Linked DNA regions of Lepisosteus oculatus. The protein of the gene in region 1 interacts with the protein of each later gene in a pairwise test. Links are inferred from orthologs where the notes say so. Each region holds a gene or a part of one and is shown in the gene's direction. Other genes may lie near its edges.

Evidence for each region.
Region 2: the proteins of otx1 (region 1) and vwc2l interact in binary tests that used the Homo sapiens proteins (3 or more experiments, as listed by UniProt). The two-hybrid records come from large-scale screens. The link is inferred for Lepisosteus oculatus from reciprocal best matches to the Homo sapiens genes OTX1 and VWC2L.
Region 3: the proteins of otx1 (region 1) and tns2a interact in binary tests that used the Homo sapiens proteins (3 or more experiments, as listed by UniProt). The two-hybrid records come from large-scale screens. The link is inferred for Lepisosteus oculatus from reciprocal best matches to the Homo sapiens genes OTX1 and TNS2.
Region 4: the proteins of otx1 (region 1) and cysteine-rich hydrophobic domain-containing protein 2 interact in binary tests that used the Homo sapiens proteins (3 or more experiments, as listed by UniProt). The two-hybrid records come from large-scale screens. The link is inferred for Lepisosteus oculatus from reciprocal best matches to the Homo sapiens genes OTX1 and CHIC2.

Annotation. Positions count from the first base shown.
Region 1 is NC_090712.1:9,476,544-9,484,182, reverse strand, and holds the start of otx1 (homeobox protein OTX1 B), read left to right. Parts: upstream 1-4,267; 5' UTR 4,268-4,357; exon of another isoform or gene 4,358-4,641; intron 4,642-6,456; 5' UTR 6,457-6,550; coding exon 6,551-6,647; intron 6,648-7,351; coding exon 7,352-7,503; intron 7,504-7,639. UniProt on the Homo sapiens protein: Probably plays a role in the development of the brain and the sense organs. Can bind to the BCD target sequence (BTS): 5'-TCTAATCCC-3'.
Region 2 is NC_090707.1:8,198,017-8,206,409, reverse strand, and holds the start of vwc2l (von Willebrand factor C domain-containing protein 2-like), read left to right. Parts: upstream 1-5,106; 5' UTR 5,107-6,374; intron 6,375-8,196; 5' UTR 8,197-8,213; coding exon 8,214-8,393.
Region 3 is NC_090696.1:17,524,518-17,532,306, forward strand, and holds the start of tns2a (tensin-2), read left to right. Parts: upstream 1-4,532; 5' UTR 4,533-4,617; coding exon 4,618-4,731; intron 4,732-7,789. UniProt on the Homo sapiens protein: Tyrosine-protein phosphatase which regulates cell motility, proliferation and muscle-response to insulin. Phosphatase activity is mediated by binding to phosphatidylinositol-3,4,5-triphosphate (PtdIns(3,4,5)P3) via the SH2 domain.
Region 4 is NC_090696.1:78,484,624-78,492,724, reverse strand, and holds the start of cysteine-rich hydrophobic domain-containing protein 2, read left to right. Parts: upstream 1-5,008; 5' UTR 5,009-5,322; coding exon 5,323-5,444; intron 5,445-8,101.

The DNA of each region.
Region 1 (7,639 bases):
GGGTGTACATGCTTATAAAGTTTGCAGTCACGACCAATAACATTTTCGTTATTTTCATCGCTATTTTAATTTTTTTTCTTCGAAGTCGTAAAATAAAAAGTACAGTAGCGCAGACTATTTCAAATAACGTTTTTGCGTGCGATAATGAACCATTTAATCGGGTATCCGTTTAGAGTGGAGGGTTAGAAAATTGCACAATCCTTTCACCCGTCAGGGCTTAAAATCTCAAAATCACATTTAAAGATAAGCGTTTTCTGTAACCCACTAACATTTAAGAAAGTGACGGGGTGCTCATAATAAAACGCCGAGTATTTGCTGAAAATAATGAATAATAGGTTTTTTAAATGCTACATTAATTTGTTTAGCATTTGCAAATTTGTTTTCAGTAAAATACCCGAAGTTTACTTTGCCATTATTTACAACATGTCATTTTGGAATTAAATTGGACACATCAATTAAAAAGAAAAGGCAACCAGTCTACAGTGCAAATAATGTAAGATGTATAGGCTAAAACATAAGTTGAATCTGAATGATTCTTCTAACAAGGAGTTATACCGAATTCCCCCGTGTTTTAAATTCATTTATAAATGAGTGTTTGCATTTTGTTTTAATTTAGGTTAATGCAGATTATTCATTCCTGAGAGGCAGATTAGACGAAATCGTTTTGTACGGAACATCTGTTTACCTTCGGTCCCTTCTCCAGCAAGGTTTTTTATATATAAAGAGCCGCCTCTTAATGACACCAGCCACGAAATACTCATCACTGCGTCCTCATCACTGTGATTAAATAGTGAAAAATAAGTTTTGACAGCTGACGTCCTCTCTGGCCTTTCTAATACTTTCAAATTAATTTGCTGATCGGCTCTCTGCTTGGGTCCAACTGTATACCCATATTATGTCCTCTAAGGCGATTTGTTTTCGTTATGATGTTGTTATTATTGGTGACCGTGATCTGTTGAATAACCTGCAATTTATAACGTTCACAATCGAATGCACTTCCGAAAAACTTTGCTGCATTGAATGAATACCCGTCTTTGTTAATTCTTTAACTCAATACATTTATTTTTTAAGAAATATGAATTGGGAAGCACAGTATTATAAAAAAAACCTGTGTTCGGACGCGACACTTTCCAGTTCATTATTTTCCGAGGTACACTGTACTTTTCTGGCCGCTGATGCAACCGTAGCAGTGTTGTCAAGAACACTGGCGTACAAAGAACATCGACAGCATAACCATTTTAATACCATCACAAAACAATTCGGGAAAATGGTTTATATTCATGTAAAGCCTTTTGTTTTTAATGGTCCTAGAATTTCTAATAGAACAACTGTATCAACCTTATATGAGAAAAAAACTTTAAATTATTAACGACGACTTTCGGAAGACGGTTACATTATATCAATATATGTATATCGGAAATATCTGGGTTATTTCTATGATTTAAGTCATTCAAATAAGTGCTACCGCTTCAAGGGCAAACATAGCCCGTATATTTAGTATTAACATTAAGAAAAACATACTTTTTTCGTAGAATTATCATTTGTATTTTGTAGCCAATATTCACGTTACACTGAGATTAATTTTAGCTTCTCGAACTTTAAACTGTTTTCGAATGAACTTTTCAGATGCGCTCCTAATTCACAGATATATGGATTTCCATTATTCCGCTGTACAATCAGAAATCGCCATACGATCTTTTTTTTAAAGAATTGTAACATCCGGTATAATTTTTGGAATAAGATTATTTCTTGACACAGAAAATTCTATAAAATATGTTTCTCGGTGCTTACCTGCACTGGTAGCTTTTCAGCAGTAACGTTGGAGAATGAGAACCCCCCCAAAAAAAAACGATAAAACGGAAAGAAAGATGCGTCTTTTGCTACGAAGAGCACTGCAGAAAATATCTTAAGAGGTCGATGTGAGAATGGAATAATCTCCTGTGTATTGTAGATGTAAACACTTTGAAGTCTAGTTTCACCTCACAGGTGTTGATCAGTCGGATTTCATGGAGCCCCGGCCGTTGTGTCCTGTATAATTTCCCTCCTAGTTTTCAAAAAAAATGAACCCAGGGAAGACGTTACAAATCTTCTTGTGTTGGGGCTCTTACAGATTTCGTATTTTATGCATCACGGTTTTAATAAGCACCCAACAACATCCACGATCTAATACAATCCTGTCGGCTAAAGAGACAAAACTTTTTTTCCCCTTTCCCTCCGCTTCCTTAATCCCGGCCTTTATAGGCTCAGCATTAAGAAAATTCGTCTGCAATTTGGGATTAGACAAATACTCTTATTACAAAAGGTTAGTGCTACTTGATACCTTGATACTTGCACAGGGTTGATCACATCTTAAACAGAGATCACGAATAAAAACAGCAAATCTGGCGAATTGTTAAAAGAAGACTTTTTGTTGTTTTTTTTAAACTAAATTTTAATCTGCAATGTTGTCGTTTTTTTCTGCATTAATGCAAAGATCCGCTTAAACAAGAAATCATCTGGGTTTAACGTGTGGGGAAACTATGTCCATCCAAATATTGGTGTGTAATTGAAATACTGCGGGTACATACTTTGACATCAGATCCGTGCAAATGTATTTGAAAACTGTGTTTTATCAGCATGCAGATAAACTTGTGTGCATATACACACAGAGACACACGGGTATATACATATGGGCCTATATGGGTCTGTTTGTCAGTGTCTGTGTAAAAAAACACCTCACGTAAGAACTTTTTTTTTGTTTTCAAACCTTCTGTGCCTTTGTAGCGGCACCTTTGTTCTTAAAAAAAAGTGCTCATGTCGATGACTTTTTGGATCTATAGAAGAATCGTGTAGACCCTGCCTTTGATTAGTCGTCCTATATAGTCAAAAATGTAATTTCGTTCGTCTGGCGGTCACTGTCTTTGAACATTAGCTCGCTTTCAGCTCCGGCTTCAATTAGAATGAGTTGATTTTGCGAGATCAACAATAGGAGCGAGCAAAGGCTTATTAGGGTCCTCAGAACATATCCCGACCCTTTGAGAAACAGTTAAGGAAACAGTGTGCCCTCCATGATATTCTGTTACCGTATTTTATTGGCATTTCTTTAGGAAAGTGACGCTTGAAAGGTGCTTTCTTTGATACCCAGCCACTGAGCTTTCTTGCCTGATTTCATTTATTTTCTGGTGTCGGTTGGGTTTTTCTCGTCCTTTTCACTCTCCCCTCCCAACCGCTCTGTTAAAAGACAGTCCCTATTAAACTTTACGCTGACTATTCTGAAATGTAATTCTAAGTGGGGGATTAACTCATCATCAATATTCATGAGATGGTTGCTAAAATAAAAAAAATGTAATACAGATTGTTTCGGCATATTTACTAAAACAGAAATAATGCGCACTAAATTTCAAAGGACATTGGTCGACAGATCTTGGCACCAATATGTTACACCATCTCCATGTTAAATCAGCAGAAAAAAAACAATTGCTCAGGATTTTAGTTGATAGGTCGTTACAAAATAAAATAAAGTTGAAGTTATACTACTTTGTTACTTTGTTAGAATATGGACATGTGTAAGGCACAATTTCATGATCTAAAAGAAAATTTAATTTTGCAAAAACTTTGCTCCCAAACCTATAGTAATTTTAATACGTCTACGTTTATCACATTAAATACACATTAAAGTCCCGTAGCTACTGCCTAATTCTTAAAACTAGCTTAATTTTACGTTTGATGAAAGCCGCTTAGTTCTGTATTTTAGTAGGTGACACAAAGTATAAATTCTCCACTGCGAAAAAAAAATCCGTAACATCTGAAGAAATCTCATGCACCTAACCGTTTCAAAAGATCAAGTAAAATCTCCAGATTTGATCTTTCCTGCTCAAATAACACGTGTACAGGCCCCTCTTTCGCCAAATTCCGTATCTGTTAAAAATAATCCTTAAACAGAAAATACTGTAAAAGTTAATACTTCTTTTAAAGGTTAGATTTTCTCGTTCACGCACGCAAATCGACAACTTTCCGCTACAACCTGACAGAAACACTCTGTTTTGTTGTTTTTAGCGGCCCTCAGTTCAGTGGCTAACGAAATTGCAACAAAATAAACACCAATTCATTTTTAAAACATTTTCTATCCCCCTGGTCTTACTTTGCAGGTTTATGTTGTTCCCAGTATGAAGGGGAGGGGCTTCCCCCTAACTCTTTTCAGTTATTGACTCGTTGCGACGTCAATCATGGGAAGAGCGCTCACGGATTGGTGCGAGGGGGCGGTTCCGCAGGTGTCTCACACTCATAGAAGGGCAGGGCGGAGAGAAGGTGATCAATCTTCATCGGTCTACATTAGCAATCACCTTAAACACAGTGGAAGACATACATTGCGGCCAAGGTAATGCGTTTGATTTATTTGGTTTTCCAACCCGGAAACTTTCACTGATTGCAGCAGTGAAACGACGGCGAACACGTGCGGTTTGCAAGTGTTTGGTACAGAAACGTAAACGCACGACGGGGTTTTTTTTTAACCATTAAAAAGTATAGCGAATGATATAGGTAGTTTTAAATTCCTTATTTTCTTCCACCTTGCTGAATCCCAGAGTTCTTCACTTGCTGGATATTGTTCTATGTAAATACGCTTCTTGTTGACCATCGAAAAAAAAAAGAAATAAATTGAAGGTAAGTTTGCATGGTTTCGTCTAGTTCGCTTTCGCTTCAGAAATTTGCCATGTATGAACACGACTCGCATAGCTTGGTTTGTTTCTTGTTTTGTTTCGTGAAGTTTGCCATATAAGTAATTTTAATGTGCAGCATAAGCGCAATACATTTTCTGAATGTTGGGCATTAATTGTGTTAATAATAATGATGATGATATGATAATTAAATGGACCTTCTTGGTGTACAATACGTCTTTCGATAAAAGTTACACGTAGGCTATCCTACATACGGTCTGAGAAGCCTGCTGTTCTGTCTGTGCGCTCTAGAGAAGGTGTTTAGCTGCCCCAAAAACAATTTAAAGATCCCAATTAATGTGCACAGCAAAGAGTATGGGGAATTTAAAACAACTTCGATCTTGATGCGAGAATTGTTTGGACTGCTTTTTTATATAGCCTATATATTTATTCTCATGGAAATGGATAATTATAAGAGACCGATTGCCCATTAAAAATGTTGAATCTACTTAGTAGATAATTGGAGAGGCGTGTTTTGGTTTTTGTTAATTTATTTTGCTGATAAGACCCCTTCTTTAAATGGTCTCCCTGGAGGTCTAATCTAAATTGTAATTGAGTTCATTTGCACGGAGCTCTCGCCTTTTCAATCTAGTTTATCTCCGTCCTGTGGAGCTGCAAATGTAGTTTAAGAAACATCTAAATACACAGAATACGCCAGGTTTACTGCCGGTTCATTTTCACAGCACGGGACCAGATCTTATCTTGATTAGGAGGGGGAGTTCTAGTAGTTAACAAAATAATTGAATCGAAAATACGATATTGGCAGGTTTAGGTTTCGAAGAAATGCGAATACATTTTAAATGATAAAGAATGTTGGAAACAACATGTCGTTCAGATGTATAACTGTACCTTGAAGCGTTTTTCCTTTATCTGCTTCAGTTGGAATTAGTTTATAACTGGAAGCCTTTACATTCCTGTTTATTCACGTTAATTTGTTTTCAATATTACTTAATAATTATGAATAGTGGGGGTATTTGTGGAAGATGGTGGCCACATTAGAAAGTCAAATTAATTCAGTAACGTGACACTTTTTTTTTGGAAATTCTAAATTTACGATTTAAGATGTATATGTTTGGAGCTTATTTCAATATCACGTCATTTAAAAATATGAATTCGTATTATATTACAGTAACAAAACAATTCCAAAGTGGAGAGCTACAGTTCGTAAACATCTCGCAGCTGAAAAACTTTTTATTTGGCTTTATGACCTAGTTAATATTACCACAATTTCACATTTCTCCTGACAGTTTTAACAACGCTGAACTACATTTCCATCTAAAAGAAGTTTGACACCTACATACCAAAAATATTGGAGTGTTGGTTGTATTACACAGTGGTTTGTATTTGTCGAACTTCGCTGTTTGAGGTGTTTTTAATACAATAAATTATAAATAGGTTAACAGTAATATTTCTGCCATTGATTCCTTCATACAGCAATTGTATTTTTTCGTACTTAAAAAAATGGGGTCGCTTCATCAAAATTGACATTCTGTTGAGTGCATAAACGCGTACCTCACCCCGTGTTTTGAATTCTTAAAAGTACTTTCCTCATTTTTGTGACCAAATTGATTGAAGTAAAATTTCAATCACTTCACGACATTTTTACGTTACCGACTGCCAGTCACGAAAATGCTGTGGGCACGGCTTTAACACCAGGGCTTGTAACCTTTCTAGAGAGTTTAAATGCACCGTGTTGAATTCTAGCAGAGAGATAGTAACTTGAATGAAGACTTTAATTGATTTTTTTATGATTATTTTTCAGTGCTTTCAATTGATCGCCCTATTGACCCGGAGTTTAATATAAGAGAATATAGAATAATTGGCAAGATTTGGAGGAACCTGATAAAGCCTTTAGCATGATGTCATACCTCAAACAGCCCCCGTACGGTATGAACGGGCTGGGGCTGAGCGGAACAGCTATGGAGTTACTACATCCTTCAGTGGGATATCCAGGTAAAGAGAAGAAAAAAATCTAAATGCATGGTCTGCGCTCCAGCTTCAGGCTTATTTGTTCTGTACTCGAAATATTTTTTCCCTAAATTAAAAAGAGAAGAAAACTTTTAGGCCCAGAGCTATGATTTAATGTTAATGTTTTAGTCTCTGATTTGTTACCGTGTCTAAAAGCCTGATTTATTTTTTTTCTTTAGGAAGTGCAGACTAACATGAGGTAGCCATGATTTTGTATAAAAACCTGCCTTACCTTTTCTTTACTATCATAAACTTTGTAGACTGTGACACCTGCATGAGGCCGGCATCAGATTCGGGTTAATTATTAACGAAGGCCTGCCTCATGAAAAATTAATCTGACGCTTCGAAATGTTTCCTGTTGTTTATTTTTACACAGAATGAAAAATGGTACTGTATTTTAACATTTGTAGCCTTCTCGAAATGGCGTTGTAATGTCTGTCCGCAGGTACATTCAAAACAGCGCTAAAAGACTTTTACACGTCGAGTTCTTGTCCAGAATTGTAAAGAAACCATTTTAACCCATGGCTAACGAATATTAAATGATCTGTGGAGGGGTAATATGAGGTTTTCGATTTTTACCCTTTACAATACACCAGTATTAAAACGGCAGACTGTGAGTCTCATAGCATGTTAAATGTGCAATAAAAAAGAAAGCACGGTTTTCTGAAATATTTAATATTGCCTTCCAGCGACCCCGAGAAAACAGCGTCGGGAGCGGACTACTTTCACGCGCTCACAGCTGGACATTCTGGAAGCGCTCTTTGCGAAAACTCGTTATCCGGATATTTTCATGAGGGAGGAGGTGGCGTTAAAAATCAACTTGCCCGAGTCAAGAGTACAGGTATTTTAAATGCCGCTGTTGCTGCCGTTGGACTCATCTGATTAAGAGCACCGTATTTGAATGTGTTGTATGCAACCATTTTACATCTCGTTTTGAGGGCACGGTGCAAATTTGTATTGGGGGGCTTTCTATTATT
Region 2 (8,393 bases), on another chromosome or scaffold:
TTGGGAACATTCTGCAGGATGAGCAATGAGGGCCTGGAAGTGAGTCACACCTCTGGAAACCTTTAGAGGACTTTTAAGGTTCTACAGAGCGAGCAGTTAGATCAAGACGCTGGAAATGTCAGAGCCCATGGGGCCGGGTTAGCACAGGGCCTCAGCAGTGCTCCTAATAACCAGTCGAGAGGGAGTTATTCCTGCATTTCTAATCCATGGGAACACAGCGGAGCTTGAACAGGGACTCCAATACAGCTATTTCAGAGCCGAGGCGCTTCCTCGACTTGTGAAGGGCACCAGGGTCCTTGGGGTTCTAAGTCTTTGCCCCTGGGTCCTACAGGAGGCTCCTTCTACTTGACTGACGGCCCGCGACTCAATAAGACAAGCACAGCGGTGCTCAGGCTGTTCAGCTGTTCTGCCATTCTCACTGATTAGGGAACTGGAGAGAAGCTAAAATGTAACAGGAGAAAGTAGAGCAAAAAGTACAAAAGTGTCCTTGTCAACAAATATGTCATCTGCCCACACAATTACAGCTGCCTTCAGCTGTCAATTATTTTTTTTCAAGAAGTAGGAAAAACAACTTAATTTCTCACCATTGGTTATTCATTCATGTTGGTGAGCTGCCTTTTCCAGAATCCTGATGTGCATAAAAGTTTTGTCATGTTTAAAAGGTAATACAAACACTGGATTTCACCTTGCAGTTAAAGATTCTCCGGAAAGATCCTTTTTGGCTTTTTAAAGCTTGTTTCTTATCAATCTGGAAATGAAAGATTTCCAGGAGGTCCTTTATTTGTTTTCAAAGCAGTATTTCCTTGCCTGAAAGCACAACAAACCTTGAAAATAGTTATCTTTTAAAAAAGAAAAGACCTACAGTATCTCCAGACCTTGATTGTTGCTACCAAATGGAGCGGCAGTTCTAGAGAAAGAAGGAAAAATAGCACCATTTACAAAAAACTGGTATCCTTAGGAAAATTATGCTCTGGGTTTTGATTTATCATGCCAGCAAAAGATAGTCATCTATGCAGGAAACTAACCACAAAACCTAAGCTTAGGAAAGGGTTTCATGCAAAAACAAAAATATAGTTACAATTAAGCATATGTAACATTGTTTTATTAATGTGATAAATTGCAAAGCTACTGATAAACCACAAAAAGTAGATGCTCCCACTGGCTAATTATATTAGAATTTGTTGCAATGACTGCTAGCTATGTACAGTGCTTTACCAGCTGTCTAATGGCTTGCTGATTGGTTTTCAGACATGAACTGGCATAATAAACCACTGGACTGCCTTCAGTAAGAGAGCCTTAAAGTAATTGCTCATACTGGCAAAGAATATTTATGCCAGCAATCGGTATCATAAGTGGAATAATCTTAGAAAGAACATTGCATTTTTCCTGTGATGCTCCCATCACATTGGTATAGTATACCCTGCTTTTTGGTTTAATCAGATAACACAAATAAGGAAAGTTTTATGGTAGTATTTTTCCTTCCTCCACATCCCCTGTGATCCTTTTCGTATCCTTTTTTTTTTACTAAGGAATTCATGAAAAATCACAAGGAATTCATACATCCTCATTCTCTTTCTGTTTTGTTTAATCATCTTGACAGTGAACAACAAAAATAAATGTTTCAGTAGGATGCTACATACATCTATGCTGACTGCTTTCACAGTGGTCCCCAGTTTTTCTCCGAGAGATTGGATTTTTGAACTACATTATTTATTTCGTCGTTGCTGACATCTTTTGAAACTGTTTTAAAAGCTGGTACTGAAGCAACAGGTTTTTCGGGTGAGGGACAGTCTCGCTGGTACAGCCAGAGGAAAGCTCTGGGTTATGCTGCAGAAATATTTTTTCTCCAATTTAGTCTCACACGCAGCAGTTCAGAAGTGGGAAGTGGCCCTGTGACCTTAAGCACTTCAGAAAGGGTCATCTTTGTGTCTGCCAATTCACAACTAATTCCGAAAGCAAGTCTGATGAAAAAAAAAACATGTTTTTAATGTTTAAACTTGGAAAAAAAAACACACAGCAGTACTTTGAACGTGTGTCAGCAGTACAATCTCTGCACTTCCTGATCAGCTGCATATTGAAGAGCCAGTTATAATCACTCCTAGGAATCTGACAAGCTGCCTCTAAATATGTTTTTCATTGTAAAAACGTATTTCACATCCACTACCACTGCTATCTTTAAGCATAGTAATTATGAATTTCAGTCTGTCATAAAGACCTATGGTGGGCAATGAAGACAAGAAACAAATCGAGGACAAAGGTACTACCAAGGACTTTTATCTTACAACTAGCACTTTTTTAATTGTGATTTCTCACTTCAAAATGCAGTCATGTGGCACTACAGCAGTGAACAAAAATCACTATTTTAAAAGCAAGTCAGAAGCATTATTAATTGTGTAACACACAGGACAGAGAAGACTATGAGGGCACCTGATTTAGGTATTCAAAATGCTCAAAGACATTGCCAGCATTACCCCGATTGTCTTCCTCAGAATGAACAGTGAAACACAAACCAGAGGTCACAAGTGGAAATTATGAAGAAGTACATCTAAACCATAAACCAGGAGGCACTTCTTTATGCAAAGAGTTGTGGGAGTCTGGAACAAGCTGACCAGCCATGCTGCTGAAGCCGATATACTAACATCTTTCAGGAACTGGCTGAATGAGACCCCGAGTTACAATTTGCTACCAACAGGTTGAATAGTGCCAAATGTTCTTCTCCCAGTTGTGTCTGCTCCTACATTCATATCTAGTAGCCATTGTTCTCTGAAAATGACTGATGTGTCCTTTTGATGTGCTATTACATGTGCAGTTTAATTATGTCAAAAGTTATATTCCAGCTGACAATTAATTTTTGCAAAATAGGCATTCCCTCAGATGTAGCCATTCCCACAATGAATTGACACGCGTCCACTAAAAATACATGTATTCCTTATTTTGGAGCTTTAATGAGTGTGAAATCAAGTATGGGGGCTTTGACAGATGAAAGTAGGTTAAAAAGTTCTAATAATAAAGGCACGCCACCGTTTCGTTTCATATTGTTTAAGCATACAAGGAATATAAAAATGTCTGTGCTGCTCGTCCAATTAAAAAAGAAATCTGTACGAAAAGCGGCAGACTTTGCAGCTGCAGAGAGACCAAGGCCATCTCTGTGTTTTATGGCTGTTGGCTAGAAGTGACTGACACCACCTCTCACTGATCAGTTCTGCATCACTTGAATCCTTGGTTATTTCACCTCAACCCACAGCACATTGAAGTAATCATTTCTTCTTAATCCGTCTGATCTTATTACTTAATCACAGACTGCATTGATTTTTTTTTACATCTCATTCCTTGTGACCTTCTCCTTTGGGTTTGCCCAGTTTATCGTTATCTTTTTGTACAGTATAAGAACAACAGTCTCAGAATTTTGCTGTTAGCTCATTCTAAACTGGCTTAATGTTTCTTAGAAGCATTTGACCAAAGTCCTGAGCTGCACAGCAGTGATTAGTCTGCTGGTGGGGCCACCTCAGCTCAGAAATGGATTTTATTGATTTTCTTTGCTACGTGCACCTCATGATTATAAAGTTTGAGTCTTAAACAAACCAAATGCCTGCCTTCTTGCTGTGCAACCGAACCACAAATAAATATACCGCCAATTATTTTTTTTCTTGATAGAAGCCAAATAAAACAGATAGCACAGCCATTAACCCTCTACTGCTCAGTTCTGTAAAATCCATTTTTCTGAGGTCACGAAACCTGCCCCTATTATTTTATCAATTCCTGATTTTGAACCGTGACTGTTTAATTAGAATGTTACAGGGATCTTTAAAAACTATTGGTTATTTTACCTAAGCGGAAAATAAGCTCCTTTAAAATGCCTGTATTGGTAGTCTTTAAGTATATACTGTAGGTTAAAGTGTCAGTACTTTAAATAAAGAGGATTTCAATGCATCCTGATTCAGGAATTAAAAGTATTTTTAGACAGTTATTGAAATAATTGATACAGAAAGAAAACAACAGAAAACTTTACGTAAAATGTGTACTGTGTTGAGTGAAACAGATATACAGTATATGGATATATGGATACGATGACTGCTGTCATGTTTGGGACATCAATATGGTGGGATAGGTGGGTTCAAGGAAATGGGGGTTAAGTATATCCCCTAACATGTCTGCCTTTATAATCTTGGCACAATTTAACATGTTCCATTTACAATGAAAGAAGTTTCTAATTGATTGATTGGATCAATGGTGGAATCAGTCCACAGGAATACATTCCCTGCCAGTTGTCATGTAACAATGTTAACTAGGAAGAGCTGGAGTCAAAGTTATTCGTCAGGATTGAAATTGCACTGTCAGTCATTTTGTCTGTTTTTTCTTTAGTAGCTGACAAAACCGTTTGTTTTTTTTTTTTACAGTAGCTCTGGAAAACTTCCCGTGTGCTGCTGGTGTCAAGATGTAATTATAAGATGTAAAACAATTGTCTGTAGATGGATGATGCAGAAAATAAACTACTTTAAACAGAATAATAAAAATGCGTCCCTATGTAAAAGTCCAGGTTGAGCTTATTTTCAATTTAAAGTCATGTGCTGCTTCTGCACACGCAGTTAAGGGATAGGTGTGTAGTCACAGTTTCTCACTACTCCTCTAGAAACCATAAAAATATTTGATAAATTCGCTTTGTAAGTTCTCTTTCCTCATTGTATTCTGGAGACAAATACACAAATAGAATGTTTGATTTAGAAATCCCTCACCATCAGGCTGTATTAGTGGGGGGTATAATTGTTCCAGCGATGCGTGAATTTGTTACAAATACTCATCACGGGATTTTTTTTTAACTTGCTAGGAAGAGTTAGTCATGTGAAGTCACACCCTCTGCTGTCCATGGTAATTAATCCAACCGGAGTCAGGGTCGAAGACTGTTTATTGCAAGCTGTATTGTAATTCATAAGATATCCTTTAATTTAGGATTTTTATTCTCTATATGTTTCCTCTTCTTTAGTCTGTTTAATTTATGCTTGAGGAGCAGATGAAGCCTGTGGTATATAGTAAGGCAGTGGCCCCTATAGGTAAACTGAAGTATTAGCTTCTATTCTAAGGTTTGTTGCATTTAAGGAATCTCACGCATAAGGCACGTTTGAACAGACTGTTTGGCGTTCACATTACAAAACTCGTATGAATATGCCTCTTTTACATTGAGTCTGACATTTATTATTGCAAAGTTTCGCAGAGGCCGAGAGCTTTTTGTCCGAAAATAAAGTGCGTATTATTTTGCTCAGGAAGGTTGACTTTTTATTGCGACAAGTAACCAAACTACAGAGAGCAACACCCTGGCCTTGGCGTTCTTTCTTTCCAGAGACAGTATTCAATGGTGGGAGGCGGGGGGGGGTATCTATTTTTTGTTCATGATGTTTCGGGCACGGAAAAAAAAAAGCTTTTCATTAAAAAAGACGCCTGAATTTTAGTCCCTTGAAGAAGCCAAGCGCCACAGAGCTTGCGTGGACTGGTCTGAGGAGGCAAAACCAAGTCATGCAGTTGTCTCTAACGAGACGAGCCCCTTGCCTTGTTGTGTAAGCGACGGCGGTTCACAGGCGCTGTCCGTGGTGCTGAAAAGGGGAACGCGCGCGTTAGCTTTCAGAGAGCGAAGCTGCTGGGACGAGCCGCGCCTGTGCTCTCAGCTCGCACGGCTCTGGGCGTATTTGAGAGAAGGATTACAGTACTTTGCACCGGTTTTGTGAAGCTGTGGGGTTGCGGTCTTATCTGTGACTGTAAACGGATTAGTCTGCGGTTTGCGTCTTGTTCCGCTCCTGCATTGATGTCCTTTTACATCTTCTTTCTTTCCTCTGTTTCGAGTCTCCACAATCGTCTCGTTTTCTTCAGAGGGCTTCTGGAACAATTCATTCCTCTTGCTTTCCTGTTACATCTGCGCTATCTGGAAGTCCCGTGAGCATCCTTGCTTCACAGAAGACTGAAAGTGCCATCGAAAGCCAAGAACTTTAACTTCTTCATCTCTTTCGGAACTTCGGATAAAAATCACAAAACCGACATTTCAAGAACCCAGAAAATATTTTTACTGTTCTTTTTTTTTCTTCTTTTTTTTCACCGCGGTTATCACTCATCGGCTCGGTGGAGACAAAATTGAAAGTAATGAGTTCATCCAGGTTATATACGAAAATAAGCGTGACGCCCCAGCTTCCAGAGAAACGTGTAGATGGGCAGGGGTACTAAAGTCTCACGTCGTTTTCAATCACGTCTTGTTGGGGAACGGATTATTATCTGCCTTCTACAACCACATGGTTAAACTCTAAGCTGGACTGTATGTCTAGGCAGTCCAGGGGGGAACTGGACTCGCTTGATACCGACTTTAACAAAGTGGAACCAGAACTATAAGCGCGGTGAGTCCAGTAATACCTATTGCAACTTCATTAAATATGGCGTTGTGATTCCAATCTATTGCACTGCATTCATTTTAAGTCTAAACAATAGACAAGTATAATATATAGTATCTCCTCTTGAACACATCTGTTGCTGTTTTCCACAATACGCCCATAGAGGAACCATTTCCATTCTCAATGAATGTTAATGTTACACGGGATGTATCCCAACTAAATAGGCAATTCTGAAAAAAATAAAACGTGATATCAATCCTTACACGTCACCGCGATTTTTTTTTATTTTTTTTTATTTTAGAAAACGCAACGGTATCTCAACGACTTCTGTAAAGGTTCACTTTTGAGTCAGGCAGCTGCAGCGATTCTGGTACAGCTGTACAGTACGTACAACATCTGCCAAGACGCTGAAATCGGATTCAAGTCATGTGCAGTTTGATCACTCATTCTTATACTGCCGTGAGGGGTGTTCCATTAGGAATCGAACTCGCTACCTACCTGTAATTTGTTTTAGCAAATTGGAATTAACCCGATTACATACAGGAAGAAGTAACCTCTGATTGCCAAGTATTTATTAACAGATTATTGATCTATATACCGTTATATACTGTATATATATATATGTTGATTAACGGAGTAAAGACTTGCTACCTGCTGTTTGTGTATTAACCAGGCGTTCCTACTTAACACGTACAGTAGTATAGCCATAAATAGTTAAAGCTTTACGTGCTCAAAAGCTTTCGATGGCCGTCTGTTGAGGCTGTTGTAATGTAATCAAAGTTATGAACAGCCGAACTCGTTCTTCACCCAATGCTCTCGGTTTCAATGAGGCATTGTCTCTGCTGTCAGTACAGTTTTAACAACAAAAATAAACGTGCAAATGTGTTTTCTGCAAGCTTTCGGCAAGCGGGAGCGTATTTAGCAGTCTAGCTCTGAGGGCTACGAAGTGATCGAATTAGAAGGGGGTGGGTAGGACTCTCACGCTGTCGCGGGCGATTGTCCAAATTATTTTGACAAAGAGGCCAACTCGGAAGACCCTGTTTCCGAGTTCTCTATGCGAGAGGCCAGCCGGTGGGGGTTGTCTTTGCCACGCTCTACAGATGACTAAGAGACAGAAAAGAACTGGTACTCGTACTGTAAATGTCGCCGGCGCTTTTATTTCTCCCTCTCCATTAAAGAAAAAAGCGCTACCTGTACCAATAATGCATTTATCGATACATTAGTCATATCTTCTGTCCACAAGGGTCAGGCAGATCTCTGTTAAGGCGGGTTGCCCCAGCTGAAACCTTAATAGAAGTTCTATTCTTGTTGTTCTGACAGAACAAGGCGAAAGGCAACAGGCAACAGGAAGCCCAAATTATTTTCCTGTTCCGTGTGTTTTTGAATGAATTAAATCTATTTTCCCCCCACTCCGAGAAGAAATTCTGGTTCTGACCAGCACTTTTGCAGTGAATGCCAGGAACATTCACATTTTTGTGTGAGAGTGAACACCAGACAAACAGTATTCCTCTTTTGTAAAGTATTCTGAATAATGTTTAGACTTTTGATTCAGAGTTAACGGTAGGCCTTAGTGTGCTGTTTTTTTTTAAAAGCCCTTAAAAATTTGAACCTCGCTGTGGCCTTCATAACTTCCTCCCAAATCAGGAAAAAAACATTAAAGTGCCTACCGAATCGTATAGCAACAATCACAATTTCATTTTGCAGGAATGAGTGGAGCGGAATAGTTATTGTATTATTATTACTCATAAGAATAATATTATTATGTGCTAACTCAGAACAGGTTCTGTTCCCTGGTCTGTTATTAAGACCCCGATCTTTTAATGTCTAGGAAATCCACAGAGAAGGATGGGCCCTCTTGTTCAAGTCGCTTGTGTACTCCTTCTAGCCTTCGAAGCCCCCGTCTCTCCGGCCGCCATCAGTCCCGAAGACTACCCGGCGGACGAGGCCGACCACGCCGCCAACAACGACAACATCCTCTTCGACGACTACCGGGGGAAGGGCTGCGTGGACGACAGCGGGTTCGTC
Region 3 (7,789 bases), on another chromosome or scaffold:
CTTCGCCCTAATCGTAAAAACCATAGTCGGTCTTGTCCAGTTCGGTATCCCCTGGAAACGTGCGTTCCCCCCGTCCAAAATATGCACGTTATCTCGGACAGATGATTTTTTTTATTCTCCACATATAAAATAATATATGTAACACACTCAAGATACAGCCTTTGCGTGCTTTGTTTCGGGTTTCATTGTGTTGTGTAAAGAATAGTTAAACTTTCACGTGGTGGCAGTATTTTTTTTTACATTACTACTTTACATTACTTGTTAATCCCTAGCAAACGCATTAAATACTTCGAGAGACAGAAATACCCACAAATAGGCTCCTTTTATCCCTCATAAACTAAGGCACAAATATGCACGCAGGAGCTGCTTATACCATGAAGTGTCCTGGAAAGTTTTGGGGAGCGTGTGTTTCTGACACCGGAAATCAGATGTACGTCATCGCTCAGTGGTCTAGGTAATCATTTTGGCAGATCACCACACAGGGAAGTAATTCATCCAGCTGTTTCTCAAAGGAAGGCAGGATTTCTGCTTTAACCACATGGCTGAGCAGCCTGTTCCCTACTCCCACACTCTGTTGTGTAAAGAAGTGCTTCCTGTTCTCAGTTTTGCACTTCCAGGTTACTTCCATACTATTCCAACTCGTCTTAAGTAACCTGCCAGGAAAACAATTGAACCACAGATCTAAAATAGGGATCTCGAATCTTGGTGCACAGGACCTAGACTTCTGCATGTTTTTTTCTTGGCGCGCTTTAACATATCAATGAGCAGAGATTCATTCGTACTTTTTAAGTAAACACTGGATTCACCGACGTCTCCTATGGTCGAGCTGGCGCTGAAACCCGAGAGGGCCGTGTGACACCACAAGACTGCAGCTGCACAGGTAAATGTGTCATCCCAGTGCTCGGGGTTTCTGGTTCGAACCCTCGACCAGCCAGGGACTCCCTGGTTCTCCACACCGAGAACCCACTGTGACCGAGTCTGCAGCAGCAGTAGCTGTTGATCCTGTTAATCTCTGAATGAGCCACTTCAGATAACAGCATCTGCTCAGCAGCTGATTAGATATCGATTCCAATCCGTTCTGGTCTGAAGCATCATGCGAGGATAGGGCCGCCCCAGCCCAGAAAGCCTGCCTGCCTCCCTGCCCTCTCGGCTTTGATTCTGTCTCCTGTGTTGTTTTCTGGGTGTGCTGCCTGTACCCCTCAAGCCGAGCACTGGGAAAACTCGGAGCAATGGACTGGCATTCGAGAGGGTCTCTGGCTCATACCTGCGAGCTGCGCAGAGCCCTGTTAATGGCCTGCTGTCTGGGATCAGGAGCAGAGGAGGCTTGGACCAGGCACAAGAATTTGCCTTACAAGGGGCTGTCTTCACCGAGAAGCTGGGGGCGCACGCAGAGCTGCCCTCCTGCTCTGCTCTGCTCTGCTCTGCTCTGCGCACGTAGGGCTGTACGTACGGCACCAACACATTTCCTTTGTCAAGATGTGGCCAGGTTTGCTTGTTTGTGCACAGCAGTTTATGCAGCAGAAAGATGAGGCTGCAGTGCAGCGCAGCGTGACACTTCATGTGTGTCAGGTGGAGGAGGAGGTGGGGTCTCTGGGTGTTGTCCCAATCCGAGACCCTGCCAGACTGCGGAGTCCCGGCAAATTGCAGGGCTGGTGTCCTTCTCTGACTGATTTTGTTTCTGGGGAACCAGCAAACAGTTTCTTTCATCACTGCAGCATTTGACAAGGATTATATTATAATATTACCGTTTACATGATACCTTTGAGCTAGTTGCATGCTGTAGTTTTTTACCACTTATTTCTAGCTTGTTAAATGTGGTCAAATGCAGAGGTGTCTTCCTGCCGGTGGGGAGAAGACAGCACAAGTGTGTTTTCTGGCATCCAAAACTACTGTACTACACACTTTGACTCTTTTACCTGTTGCAGTGCAGAACAAGCCGGGGAAATACAAATGGAATAGAGCCTCACTGATGTTGACCATTTTTAACAATCTTACCTTCGACCCAGAACTGCTGTACACATGCTGTACCTTTCAGGCAGTTACAAATATCTTGTTTGGTGACATTTTTTTCCTGGCTGATTTTAAACTGGAAGATTTAGCACACTGTCAACCAGTACATCACCACAGAGTGTTTGTGGCCTCTTTTACAAGCCTTAATTCACTGATCCATGTCCATGGTACCACACAGTTCTTAAAATTAGGATGCATCAGATTTATAATTCTTACTCTGGATGTATGGGGAAAAGCATGTTTTAGCTGCGGTTAAGAAATGACCAGTCATATTTCTGGAAAGTAATGCTGAAGACCAGCGAGCCCTCAATGACCCCAGATTTTATTTCATGTTGTTTTTGTGAGTCATCCCTGTGAGGTCAGCGAACATTCATTAACTGTGAGGAGATGCAGTGTTCATGAGGAACATTTCTCATGAGTGGTGACCGGTAATCTTCAGGCTGTTGTCAGATTTTGCTCTCAGACCTCGATCACTGTCTTCCTCAAATGTTAAATTGTCTTACTGCTCTCTGCGTTCAAACTCAACTGCCTGTGGGTGTCATTCTTCGCACTATTGCTACATATTTAATTACATTTGAGGGTATTTAATCCTTTTAGCCGTAAGCTTCACTTCTCTCCTCTTCATTAATTCCTGCATGGACTCTGTGGTGCACAGATCTTAGAAATTTTGCATTTTTTATACTTTTTCCAGTGTTTTTTCAGAAGCACAATCCAATTGCCCTCTGTGATTTTAGCCATTTTGTTTAAAGGTAATGGTTAATATTGACAAATCTGTGTTTTGTAGTACAGAAAGTAGAATTCTAGCTTTATGAAGGTGTAGTGAGTACCAATTTACCAATAACCATAACTATTCCTTACACTTAGTTCTTTTCTGGACACTCCACTCAAAGAGCTTTACAGGTAATGGGGATCCCCTCCACTACCACCAGTGTTTTCCCCACCTGGATGATGCACCAGTATGCTCCCCGCAACACCAGCTCTCAGTGTTAAGGAGAACAGAGTGATGACGCCAGTTCATACATGGGGATCATTAGGAGGCCACGATTGGTAAAGGCCAGGGAGAAATTTAGCCAGGACACCTACTCTTTTTGAGTAGCACCCTGGGATTTTTAATGAGCACAGAGAGTCAGGACCTCGGTTTTATGTCTCGTCCCAAGGATGGCATCTTTTTTACAATACAATGTCCCCTATCATTATACAGGAGCATTAGAACCGTCACACAGACCACAGGGAGAGCGCTTCCTACTGGCCTACTGGAGCACCTGATATCGATCCTGACATTGATAACGTCTGACCAACCAGTTTGACCTCATGAGTAAATGTGATGGATTTAGCACAACACCTCAGATTGGCTCTCCGTGTAGAGTTGAGATGTTGTGATTGTGTTTGTGTAGCTGCAGATCAAAGTGAATTAAAGACGCTAAACGACAGGTTAGGTGCCTTCTCATAAGCTGTACTGCCAACAGTCAGAGTTGTTATAACAGTAGAAAAAAGTAGTGGAGGTTCTGAGTAAATTGTTGATGCTCTTTACAACATACATATATTATAATTCTGGATTGTCTCCAATGTCTAAGACTTTAGCCCAGCAGAGAACCTGGATACATAACTGGTTACAGTGCCAACAACATCAATTTAAGTAAGGTATAAGGTATATACTTAATTAGGTATAAGCAGATGATTTATAGAGGGCTCTTCACATTCAGATGGCATCGTGTTGCAATTATACTGTATATTGTGCTTAAACTGTAGCAAAGGGAATTATTAGTCTGCTTTCGAATCCTGGAGAGAAGCAATTCCTTGTTGTGTTTCCAGTGCTGGTGCCAAAGCTCATTGCTGGCTGGACCAAGCCCAACCTATATTGCATCCCTTTATATGAAGCTTGCAGACAAAATAGCCTTTTCGCCTTGTGCTGTGAAAGATGTTTCCGAACGTTGTGGTGGCACATTAAAAAAAGTCCACGTACAGACTTCATAGGGGATCTACAGGGCCTATAGAGCATCTTGCCTGTCTGCAGATTGACCAGGTGATGTGCTCTAGAGAGCAGCTGGTCAGCAGGTAAATAAAGAACAGCGCTTTTTTCATGTTCGAATTGTAGGTTCGAAGGTTGGTTAACATGAACGTCACCTGCATCTCTCCAATTTATTTTACCTGAAAAAAAAACGAAACATGAGGCTGCTTTAAAGGCCGAGTTGTGGTTGTTTCTGGCTGTTTTCGCCTGCAGAGAGCGTACGTCTCCTGGGAGGCGCGATTCTGAATTTTGGCCTCCATTTGGATGGAGGGGTCCCGGCCAGGAATGTACACAGACAGCGACAGGGAAACCAGGAATGGGGCTCAGGGGGGACGCGTTCCCTTTAAAATAAGAAAAATCCGGCCGGGGGGGGCGCAGTGGCTATCGGTTTCCTGCTCGTATTGTACCTCGTTGCAGCGTCTGCGCTTGGGCTGGGGGTTGTAAGTGAGCCAGGAAAAGCAGAGGAGGGGGGCGGGGGGCGGGGGGGAGGGCCTGGCGTCAGCCGACAAAAACAGCTGTGGGACTGTGGAGTGGAAAACAGTCGGGCATGAGAGAGGGAAGAGGGGAAGAGAGAGACTGACAGAGGGTCCCCGCTCTCTATGGGTTGTGCCTGGAGCTCTGAGTGCTGCGGAGAGGAGCTGTGCCCGGTGCCGGTCGAGTGGGTGCCCAGGAAAGAAGGCCCGGGCGCTGCGGACAAGATGAGGCTGACGAAGGTAGGCTCTAGAAAAATTCAGGGCAGGTCCGGGGCTGGCATTCCGAATCGGATTTGTGTTGCTGGTGCCTTGGGTCTAGGGCAAGTGTGCTGCTTTCTCAGCTCAATCCGGCTTTCCAACACCGGCGCTGGGCAGGCTGTGCAGTGTGTCTTGCTGTCGCAGGTGGCCCAGGATCATCATGATCTCCAGGGTCTGGATCTGGGCCCCGGGTTCCGCCGATGTGGTCCCAAAGAGCTCAGGGACGAATCACTGAATCAGTGTGACTAGGACCCGGGCTGTAGATCTTCGGATGTAGTCAATCTTTTCACCCAGCTTCTCGAACCTGGGCCCAGCCGCTGCTGTGTCATGGCTGGAGTGTTCTTCTGCCCTGGCTGGACCACGGGCCTTTCTGTCTAAGTGTGAAAACTCTGATTAGGTGCTTGCAAGGAATTGGATTGTCTGGAGTAGCCTTCAAACTGCAAAATTAGTGGGCAGTGACAGGATGACATTTAGAAAGCAGTCTCCGGGATCTTGAAATTACTAGGGTTTTTTAGGTTTGGGGAAATGGCTGGACTGACAGAAAAGCATGGAGACACGTTCATATGAGGGGGCAAACTGTACTTTGGGTGCTGTGCATTTAATAGCAGGAATGGAAGCCCAACACCCATTTAGAGGAGGATATGTCACTTTTTATAACGTTTTGTGTTCGGAAACCATGTGTCCAGAGAATCAGGCTATTCCGACAGTGCTGAGCAAGTCCAGAAATTCGCAGCCTGTTTCTGGACCACATGGGGTGAATGTAAATGCACAGTGAGCTTACCCTTTTATCAGTGTGTACTCGCTTGTGTACTGATACAACTCGAGCTCTTAACAAAATATAGGAGCTGATAAGAACCACTCTTTGAATTTCACAGGAGCGACAGTGGTACACATCCAGTATTCAACTTGGATCCTGAAGGTCTAGATAACTGCCTCAGTGTCTGACTTTCATTCCAGTGAATGAACAGAAGTCCTCCTAACTAACAGGAGGGGCCCCAGGAACAGGTGTGCTTGTGCCTGTTCCCTTTGATGCCTGGTCTTGTTCTTTGTCACATGCAGTATACAGTACATGATCTCTGTGTCAAAACCACCTTTGCAAGCCTAGGTGGGTGTTATTGTGCGTTACTGTAATGTTCCTAACATTAAGATTGCTCTGAGGAATGGGAAACTGTCAGGGAGGAGTACGATCCATAATTCTGTTGTGTTCATTGGTGGAGCTTGTGGACCGGCGGGATCTGGCAGAGAGGAACGCCAGAGCAGTGCACTGAGGGACTGGGATTGCTGTGTGTCACTCACACCCTCAGTTTGGCGGTGGACTGGGTGGGAGGGGTGTTGGAAGTTTTCATCTTCTGAAATCTGGGTCCAAGTTCTGGTTCTGGTTTGGAACGCTACCCTACTCACTCTGATGTGCGGGGTATAAAAAAATCTACAAGCCTTGTTTTTGACTGGAATTGTCACCAGTTTGGGCTTCCACCTGGTGCTGAAATCCAGGGAGAATTTAAAACAGCAGAGCATTTGAATTGTACAATTAGAAGTGAATCCTGTTCCGGTGGTGTTGTTTACTGTAACTTTTGTGTAATTTGTGACTCTCCAATGTGACAGTAGTGGTACCCTTGAGCAAGGTGCCTCACCTGAATGGTTCCTGTAAAACACCCAGCTGTGTGAGTTGGTGCCAGTGTAAGTCATTTTGGACCAAAGCATCAGACAAAAATAATATAGCTTTCTCAAAATCCAGCTCCCCTGTCCTTGTATCTGTAATACCTGATGAGGCCCAGGTTCCCATAGCAATAAAGACAAGAACGTTGGCAATGGCTGGTAGAGAGGTGGTGAGCTTTGCTGCCTCGCCCTGGGTTAAATTCTGGGCCTGGGGTGCTATCTGTGAGGAGTTTGTATGTTGTCCCCATGATTGCGTGGGTTTCCTCTAATAGTCCAAAGACATACTGGTAAATTAATCAGCTTCTGGGAAAAGTGGCCCTGCTGTGTGGTTGTCTACTCTGGGATGGAGTGGGGTCCCACCAGGGTGTACCCTGCCTTGTGCCTTTTGCCTGCCGGGCTCCCCAGCTGCCTCAAAACTCTCCTTTAGAACCTGTCAGCAAAATTGAAATTGTAATACCCTGAATTAACCTTGAAAGGCTGGTTGTAGTTAGGGCAAGGTGCTCAAGAATTGAAGTGAGTTCTTAAGCATTGTGATCCCATAGTTTTCTACCAAGAGGCTGAATCTTCGGGACTCATGTGGTGACGTTTTCTGCAGAAGACTAGTGAGATCCGGAAAAGGCGCCACTTCCTTGGAAATGGACGCCAACAGGCCTTTCCTAGCTTCCTCAGCCGGGATTCTCATAGTAAATGCTGCAACTGTCTGTGGCCGTCAGTAGTACTTCCGGATATAGCTTTCCCGAAGCATGCCATGCATTCTCTGGGAATTACAGAAAGCTCCATCGGTTTCCTCCGAAATATTCCATGGAGATCATTATACAAACGTCAGCATTAAAAAAAAGTACTTGGAAAATTTGCGCTCACACACACAAAAGAACATTTTGTAAAATCAACATCCTCTCCCTGTGTTTAAAGGAATATACTCTGTGGCCTCAGTCGATACTGTAGTTGGCCTGTCTCTTCATTCTCTGATTGTTGGTTCAGCTGGGAAATTGCCCAGAGTGGCTTTGAGATCTGTATAACCTGCAGACTGAAATGTTATCCAGCATTTTTGTTTAAATTTTTGGCAATGAAGTGACTTAGCATTTATGGTGAACAGGAGATCTTTTGGTTTTGAATCACTGCAGACTCGTAAAACAGTATTATTTTTTTTAGTTCTGATTTTAGACAAGGGGATTCAGACTCTAGTCCTGGGGTGCTGAGTGTTTTGTTACAAATTAAACAATTAAAAGTTCTTAACATTTTCTTATGCTGAGTTACAGTTGAACTCTCACAGTGCTCACTTCATTAAAGGTTAAGTTAACCTATAAAACAGTGTTGATCCAGGACAGAATTATGCTCCTTCAATTATATAGGTAATTTAAAACATTACCAGAAGACAGCAGCC
Region 4 (8,101 bases), on another chromosome or scaffold:
CCTACTGATGCTGGTCTAGGCATTAGTAACATTTCAATTATAACTCTAAAAAGCGGTCAGATTAACACAGTGAGGCCTTGAAATTACATTTAGATATGAGAAAAACACTGCTTGATTGATCACATTTATAAATATTGCCGTCTAGCACTTGGCAGTAGCCGCACACAGCAACACACTCGAGTGTTACAAGCGCGAAGACCTCAGCTACCGTGATGCGTAGCCGGACTAAGCTACCGTGGGCATATTTCAGCATTTTGCAATCGTTGTGATACCTATTTATTCTCAATGTTGGCGATACCGTGAAGAAATCCATTAATATCTTGTTGAAAGACCATCATTAAGCTGTATGGACGCCTTTTTCAAAGTTGCATTGTGGTAAGTCAACCCGTGGAACATCTTGGCTAATATAGTCGCGTGATTTCTCTTTTATTAGTTACTAGGCAACTGATCATGAATACCAAAAACTGAAAAGAAACACTCGGGTCTTCAAAATAGTCTTCAATGGTAACAGAAATGAACAATGATCCAGGGGACAACATAATACCACAGGAGTGACATTTCAGGAACAATTATCTCTTTAAACAGAATACCAGCTGTAATGCCCACTCTGTTTTCCTTGTTCTGAGAAAATAAATTCGCTTTATAGCATCAATGAAAACAAAGTTTGTGTCACAATTTATGCAGTGGACTAAACTTGTTTAATCTACATTATCAATACATTATTTCATTTTTTTCATAAAAAACAAGACAAACATACACTATATTTTCCAGAATGTTAAATGTTATAACAGGTTTTGAGAACTTGACTTCAGAGTTCAAGATCGTTTCATTCAGGTTGTTTACCTTGTAAAACTTTCAGCTGAGTGTGTTGGTCACTTCTTTCCAGAATCTATTATTTGAATGGACTTATTCTGCATGTGCTCATGTTTTTGCTGATGGTTCTCCTTCATTAGGAGAGAGATGAAGCCTTTTCAAGAGATCCTTATTTTCAGATGGTATTAACATGCTCTTATAAGGAAACACAAAAGTGTATCCAAAGCTTTTTAACTGAATTTTCTTTACCACTTTTTAAAATTTGAATAACAAGTGTCCAAGGTACCAACAAACTGCAATTGGCCAGGAAAGGCAAACTATCTTGACAAACCCATATCATAGAAGTGATAGTAAATCTGGCCAAGATTTCACTGTATTTGGCTTCCGGGTTGTGATACTGTGGAAAGTGATGTTCTTGCTACATTTTTGTCTCTCACCTCCAGAGAATTGGGATTGGGCCCTGATGTACATCCTTTCTAGGCTTTTGGGAACTTTATTCACCAGCTGGCAGAGCTCAGAAAACACTTTGAGAAAATTATATTGGTCATTTGGCCAGCAATGGACTGGCGTCCCATCCAGAGTGTATCCCGCCTTGTGCTTCTTGCTTGCCAGGGAAGGCTCCAGTGGCCCTGTGACTCTGTATTGGTTGAAGTGGTTAAAAAATGGATAGATGGATGGAAATAGAATAAAACATGGAGAAGGGGAATTCCTAACAGATATGATTTCAATATGTATGAAAATACTTTGAATCTAAAAGGCTAAAGCTTTACTTACAGGATGGCCACACCATCAGGGGGTGACGCAGATCACTCTTAAGGTGACCAGCAGTAGTTTTTAGCTCTATAAACCCTTACAGACCCTGCAGTTCCAGAGGGAACTTGGTCGGTTAGTCTTGGCCTTTTCATCTTTTTTTAAACCACTCATGTAGTGCTGTAGACGAGAGCAAGCACATACAGTACAGTCATGTTTATTTCATAGCAGTGTAGAGTCACACAGTTTGCAGTAATCTTATATTTTCACAAAAAAAAGCTAAGTACTGTATATGCCTACCCAGGGACACATCGGTCTTTAAAAATTCTTCTGAGTTGTATCTATTATACTATACTAATACTATATATTATACTATTATACTAATGGTACTATTTCCATTGTTCCATTGTTACATATGGCAATAAAGTTCAAGTTCAAGTTATTATACCTATAGCATCCTGAGCTTCTTAAATTGTACAATGTTGGAAATCAGGATTTCTAACCAAACAAATGGAAATGATTTCATGTTTACAACAATGTCACTGAAACAGGTGAAAATATATCTAATAAAACCATATCCTATAGTAAACTATATCCTATCCTGTGACAGCTGCACAAAAATAAAGTACTGAAATTATACATTAACTTTCATGTACATGTATGTTGAGCAACACTAAAATTATTCCATTGTGAAACGGATTCTTGTTACCAAGATATTAATAAAACGTAATTTTATTGGCATTACAATAAAGCAGTTTCCACATGCGAATGAAAATCAGACAAATTCAGTAGGAAAGTATGACAAATAATTTAATATGAACAAAGCAACTGAATAGTCCCCATTGTTCGAATTGGAAAGTGACTGAAACAAAGGCTAATGGGAATCTATCTGCAGAGGATTAGAAGGGTTTAGTTGAAAAGCTGGACTCCAGTGTTTCTAGAAAGAGGTATTCACTGTGCAAATGTGTTTTGAATTTGTAGTTCAATTATGAAAAGGCAGAAGTCAGAAAGAAGTATCAATCGACTTGATGGTGTGACCCTCAAAAGCTCCCCAAAAGTTTGCTTCATTAGGCAAGATGGATAGTCACTGTCTTACGGCGATCCAAGCACAAATTACTTATTAAAGCTCTTTCCAAATACCCAGTTATATGTTTCCATAAGACTAAGCAAACATTTATTAGTAAATGAGAGTGAGTAACGGGGAAGAATACAACAGCCCTTAGACCAATTTCCTTGCTTGACTTACTGATCCGAAGTGCTGAAAATCTGTCTTAATTTCAATGGGAAGATAATGCAGACACACTCTCGGTGACACTGCATTGTGGTTCCTTATTCCCGATGCTCCAGAGTCAGTGCCTTGGCTGCAGGAATCTGTCCCCCTGGCTCTGCTCCCCAGGAGGCCAGACTCAGGTGCCACACCTCTCCCTGGGAGCCCCCCTCTGACCTGCCTTCTTCCTTCCTGTGTGCCAGAGGGACGTCATTAAGAAACTGTTGCACAGACCTTCTGCATTGAAGAAATATTTCTTTGTGTGCTGGTCCATTCCAAGGTGTTGAACTGATCCCCGAGGATCATTCAGTGAAATTTCAGGATGGAATCTAGTTAGAAATGACAGCCAGAAGTCTGTATGATGTTTCTTATGTTCTTAATTACAAATTTATGAACATGTACCTATCAAGAACTGAACAAAAAGGAAACCCCTTTCAAAATTTCTCTTAAGACCGTATATGTGGTACTTCCAGACATTTTAACTGTTAATTTAACATTTAAACGTGTGTATGTATACAAGCATCACATGCCTGTGGGATTTGAAGGCATTATACTAGCTAGGCAGACTAGCGAGCCTCTTCACCCTCTGTAAAACACAAAGGTGCAGTACATTCCATTCCATCTCTTCCACCACTGGCAAATTCCACATATAACAAACAGTAATTTTGGGATATAGAATGTAGTTTATGGTTTTGTTTTATTGTACAAAGTGGTCCTAATCATTTATATTTCTTCAGATGACAAACAATTGTGTTGAAGCACAATGTTGTTGTATAGCTGATCATGGTATAAAACTTATTCACACAGATTTATGAATTCAGTATTTTGCTTTTATCACTAATTAATACATTAAAGCTGAGCTCCTTGTCTGTGTATGGCAGTACGACATAACAGAGGGCTCTGGTTTTGCTAAACAGGTTTATGTATTCATGTCACATTACAGTCCTCCTTCTCTCCTATTTATTACATGCCTGGAATACTTTCTGCTGTATCCCAGTTCACGTGAGCCGGAGGGCGTTGTGATGAGAGTATGCTGTCCAATGTGTATGGCTGCTACTATGCCTGTGCTGCACGGCAGCTCAGAGACATCACCCCCTTGGGGGCTGCAGTATTCTCGAGTGTTCAGGGGAAAGAGGAAGGGCGTGATCACTCACCGAGACATCACCGCTGTTTCACCAGTAGTCCAGCAGCTCTTGTACATCATCATTAAATCGCCGGTCTCTAAAGATGCACCTGTTAAATGAAGTAACTTGGCGGTTTGGGACCCAACTCTGGGCACGTCTGCCCTCCAGGTCAAGCACCAGAGCTCTGTTCCTCGGAAAGACGGACCTGGGTCCGAGAGGGGGGGACCGGTGGCCCCTTCACTGCTGCCCCCCAGGAGGGCAGCTGCAGCAGCACCAGCAGCACCGGGTGACGGGACGCAGAGGCACAGCCCCAGGACATGCATGAAGACCTGAGAGCAACTCAGAGCAGACTGTGAGAATAAAATATAAAACAAATTCTGGTGTTTTGGTTTCCAGGCGTGAGTGTCGTATTCTTATAAAAAAATGAGCTACCTCTGTTCTTGGTGATTTTTACACCCGATTATGCAGGAAACATACGTTTCTGCTGGGAGCTCTTGTGAGCCATAGACCTCCCTGTATATATGATATATATTGCATTGATGTTTATGTACAAAATTTATTTGACCATCATGTTTCCCTTATTTTGTGATGATTTGCTTTAGTATTTTTTTATATTTCTAAATCATTAGTAAAAATCAATAAAAAATGTAGATATTTGCGCTGCAACTCCCACGTGTGTAATTGGACTGAAGATGAACAGACGGATGATTTAATTGGTGACGAGTGCTTAAAGAGATCAGAGCCTCGCAACGACGTTAACACGACCTATATAAAGGTAAACACGAAGCTTCATCAGTCTGAGTGGGACTCGAGGTTTCTCGCTTAGTGTGCTGTAGAGGGGCATGACTGTGGTGACTGATCTTGTTCCCTCTGGTGCTTGTGATCTTCCTGAATTGCTGAAGTGGGCGGCTTTCTTAGACTCCAGACACCCCCACGCAGAAACACCCTCCTGCCCACGACCCCCTGCTCTGGATGCCGCAGGTGAGAGGGGGGCAGTCTTGCCGAGTGCAGGACTGGCCGGCCCCCACGCCAAGGCGTGCGTCGTCCACGGTCTCAGGTCACCCCGTGAGCGTGTGTGCGCTTCAGTCTGCAAGCGGAGCCGCGCAGCGCTGAGCGCGTGACCCCGGCACCTGCGCACTCCTCCCGCGAGCTCCGCTCCGCTCTCGCGCCGCGTGACGCAACCTCTCGCGAGGCGGCGGATGTTGTTGTTTTGCTCTCGAGCTGTGAGGCTGCGCCTTCGCCGCTCGCCGGGTAGTTTGTTCGGGGTGTCAGTTTCTCGGGGGGCTGCTGGTATCGGGGGGTCGCTCTGCCACCGTGTGCGCTTCTCTCGGGCCAGCGCAGCGCCGGGGGGGCCCAGGCGAGCGGGCGATGATGGCGGACTTTGACGAGATCTACGAGGAGGAGGAGGACGAGGAGCGGGCCGCGGAGGAGCAGCTGCTCAAGTACTCGCCGGACCCGGTGGTGGTGCGCGGATCCGGCCACGTCACTGTGTGAGCAGCGGGCGAGGGGCGCTCTGGGGTGCCGCGGGGGTCTGGCCGCGGTGTGTCCTCTCCGCTGCGATGCCGGCGGGTCTCGGGCGCAGGAGAGGCGTGCCGGAGGCGGTCCGGCCGAGCGGCAGAGGCCGGGGCTCCGGTGTGGGTAGGCCCTGTGCGGGGTCGAGTGCGAGAAGCGCGTCGGTGGGGGTGGACCAGGCTCACGGTCTTCTAGTGCGCCGCCGCGGCGTGGGGAGCCTCTGCCCGCCGGGCCCGGGTCCCCCCAGTCCGGGAGCCCACAGCGCCTCTTGCCAAGACGCCCCGTTTGGCAGCTGCAGCCGGGCAGTCGGGCTTCAGCGTGTTGTGTGCTCTGGGGAGGGGTGATGCGCAGGCAGGAAGCCGCGGTGCCTGAGGTTTTGTTTGGAAGTGTTTTCGTCCTTCGTGTTACAGTCCTGCCGTGGTCCAAGCCCGGGTGCCTTTTTTCCAGCAAGTGTAGTTTGTGCACCACAGTTCTGCCGGTAGTTTGCATGTCCGCAGAGGTGAAGGTTGGCGGATTCATGTAAGGATTCAGATGTAAAGATCTTGATAAAAGCTGCTGTTTCCTAGTAAAGGGAAGATGAAAATGTTAACGGTGACTTAGCTAACTCAAGAATCTGTGAAAGTATGATACGAGAAGGAAAAATATAGCAGCTGTAGTATTTTACCTTTTCAACTGACTTCTCCCGAATTTTTCTTTTGGTTGAATGCCTGTGCTGTTCCAGACACTAGGGGTTGTGGGTTAAGCATACATTATGCTTTTAACCATGGCAGAAGTTTTTATTAAGTGGGAATATGTGCTGAAGCAGCAGTAAAGAGCAAATAATGAATTAGTCCTTCCTGATTAGAAGATAGTTTACTAAAAAAATAACCTGTTTATTTTCTTTTATAGTTATTACATCATGTTCACATGGGTGTGAGTGCATCTGTGTATCTGTCTACTGTAAATAAGCACACACTGGTGGTCAAAGCTGCGAGAAATATGGAAACAAAGAAAGATCAGAATAAATGTCAGTTTTCATTTATAAGCTTTTTAATATAAAAACTCAGTCTGCCAAAAATGCTTATAAAAACAATCTCCTTTTGTTGGCAACCACAGCCACACAGTGTTCTTTAGCACAGTGCGTTTGTTTTAACCCTCACAGATCTTTCCGAATCCTCTCAGATCAAACATTTTTCCACTCTTGCCCATCAAACCTGTCCCATAATGTCTCGGTGGAATTGGGGAGGTCGTGGGAGCTGCAGTCAGAGTTCTAGACTTGTGGCTGGAAGGATGCGGGTTCGAGCCTCCTGGCGAAGCACTGCTGTTGTCCCCTTGAGCAAGGTGCTCCAGCTGAACTGCTTGATGCAGCTTCGCCCCAGGAGCAGGTTCACGCCGAATACCCAGCTATGCAAGAGGGTGCAAATGGGCGCTAAACACATCAGCCAAAGGCAGCCCAGGAACAGTAATGTTATTTTCCACGTATGAACTTGAGATCAGTTACATGTAGAGTTGACCCACCTGACCTGTGTGATGTGGTTGTGATCTAGGAGCAGCGCTGTTCTCTGCATTTGCACTTGTACATCCTGGTTCAGGCTTCATAGCTGGTCCTGGCAAGCTCTTCTGGCTGACTTTGTCAGGACCTGTACTGTTTGTGAATGTGAATCAAGACCCTTGTGGTCTCTGTTCAGAACTGAATGGTTTTTTAGTTTTCAAGTGTGGTGCAGTGGATATTCTGTTAGGCGAATTGAAACTTTGAAATAAGCTTGGCTTTCTTCTCGCCCAAAATAAGTTGTATTAATGAAGTGGTTATAATAATAGGAAACATTATTGGGAGGCATGTTTAGTACTTCCTGAGTGACAAGATGTTTGTACAGCAGTTTTAGACAGACAGTTTGTAAATACGACCCTGAGCATGAAGGTGTTGTGTTGAAGGCTTGATAGTACCTGCTCTTTGAATGTGAATTAGCTGTTTACTCTTTTCTAGCAGTGTAACAAAATACATTGTTTCTAAAGAAAGGAATATTAACTGGTAAATTGGTTAAAAAGTGGAATTTGTGACAGAAGATCCAGGAGAGGTGCACAGCCCTGGTGCTGTACAGGGGAGCTAGTTTAGAAGGGTCATTTTTTAGCTAGAAGTATTACTGGTAATTGTGCTTTAATTAATTTCAGAATTAGTGTTCTTAAAATAAGACCTCCAGAGAATTGGATAGTAAGCTTGGTTTGAACAGAATAATCCTACCAATCTGCAGATTTGATTCTGTTGAAATAACTAGCCAAATTGTTTTACTGCATTGCTTGATCCATATAGCCTACAGGAACATGGCCCTCTCTTTGCATTAAGAAAATACAGCTCTGAAAGCTTGTGTGTTCTGAAACTTTTGTTTTTGCTTATTTTGAGCTGTTTTCCTAATCAACACCAATGGCTTGTCCTTCCATTACTTAAATTTAAAAGTTTAGGTTTCATAAAAGCATTCAATTGCTTTGATTAGACGAGGCTCTGAAAGTCCAATAATTGCGATGAACGGGACTTGTGATGATATGCTTTTTTCCGCAAGAGTTTTCACATTTAACGTTGATTGTCCGTAGCTTGTCTGATAAAGAGAAAGGGGAGAAAAGTCATTACACTGATGTTCAAGGTTGCCAGTTTTTAGCGGCA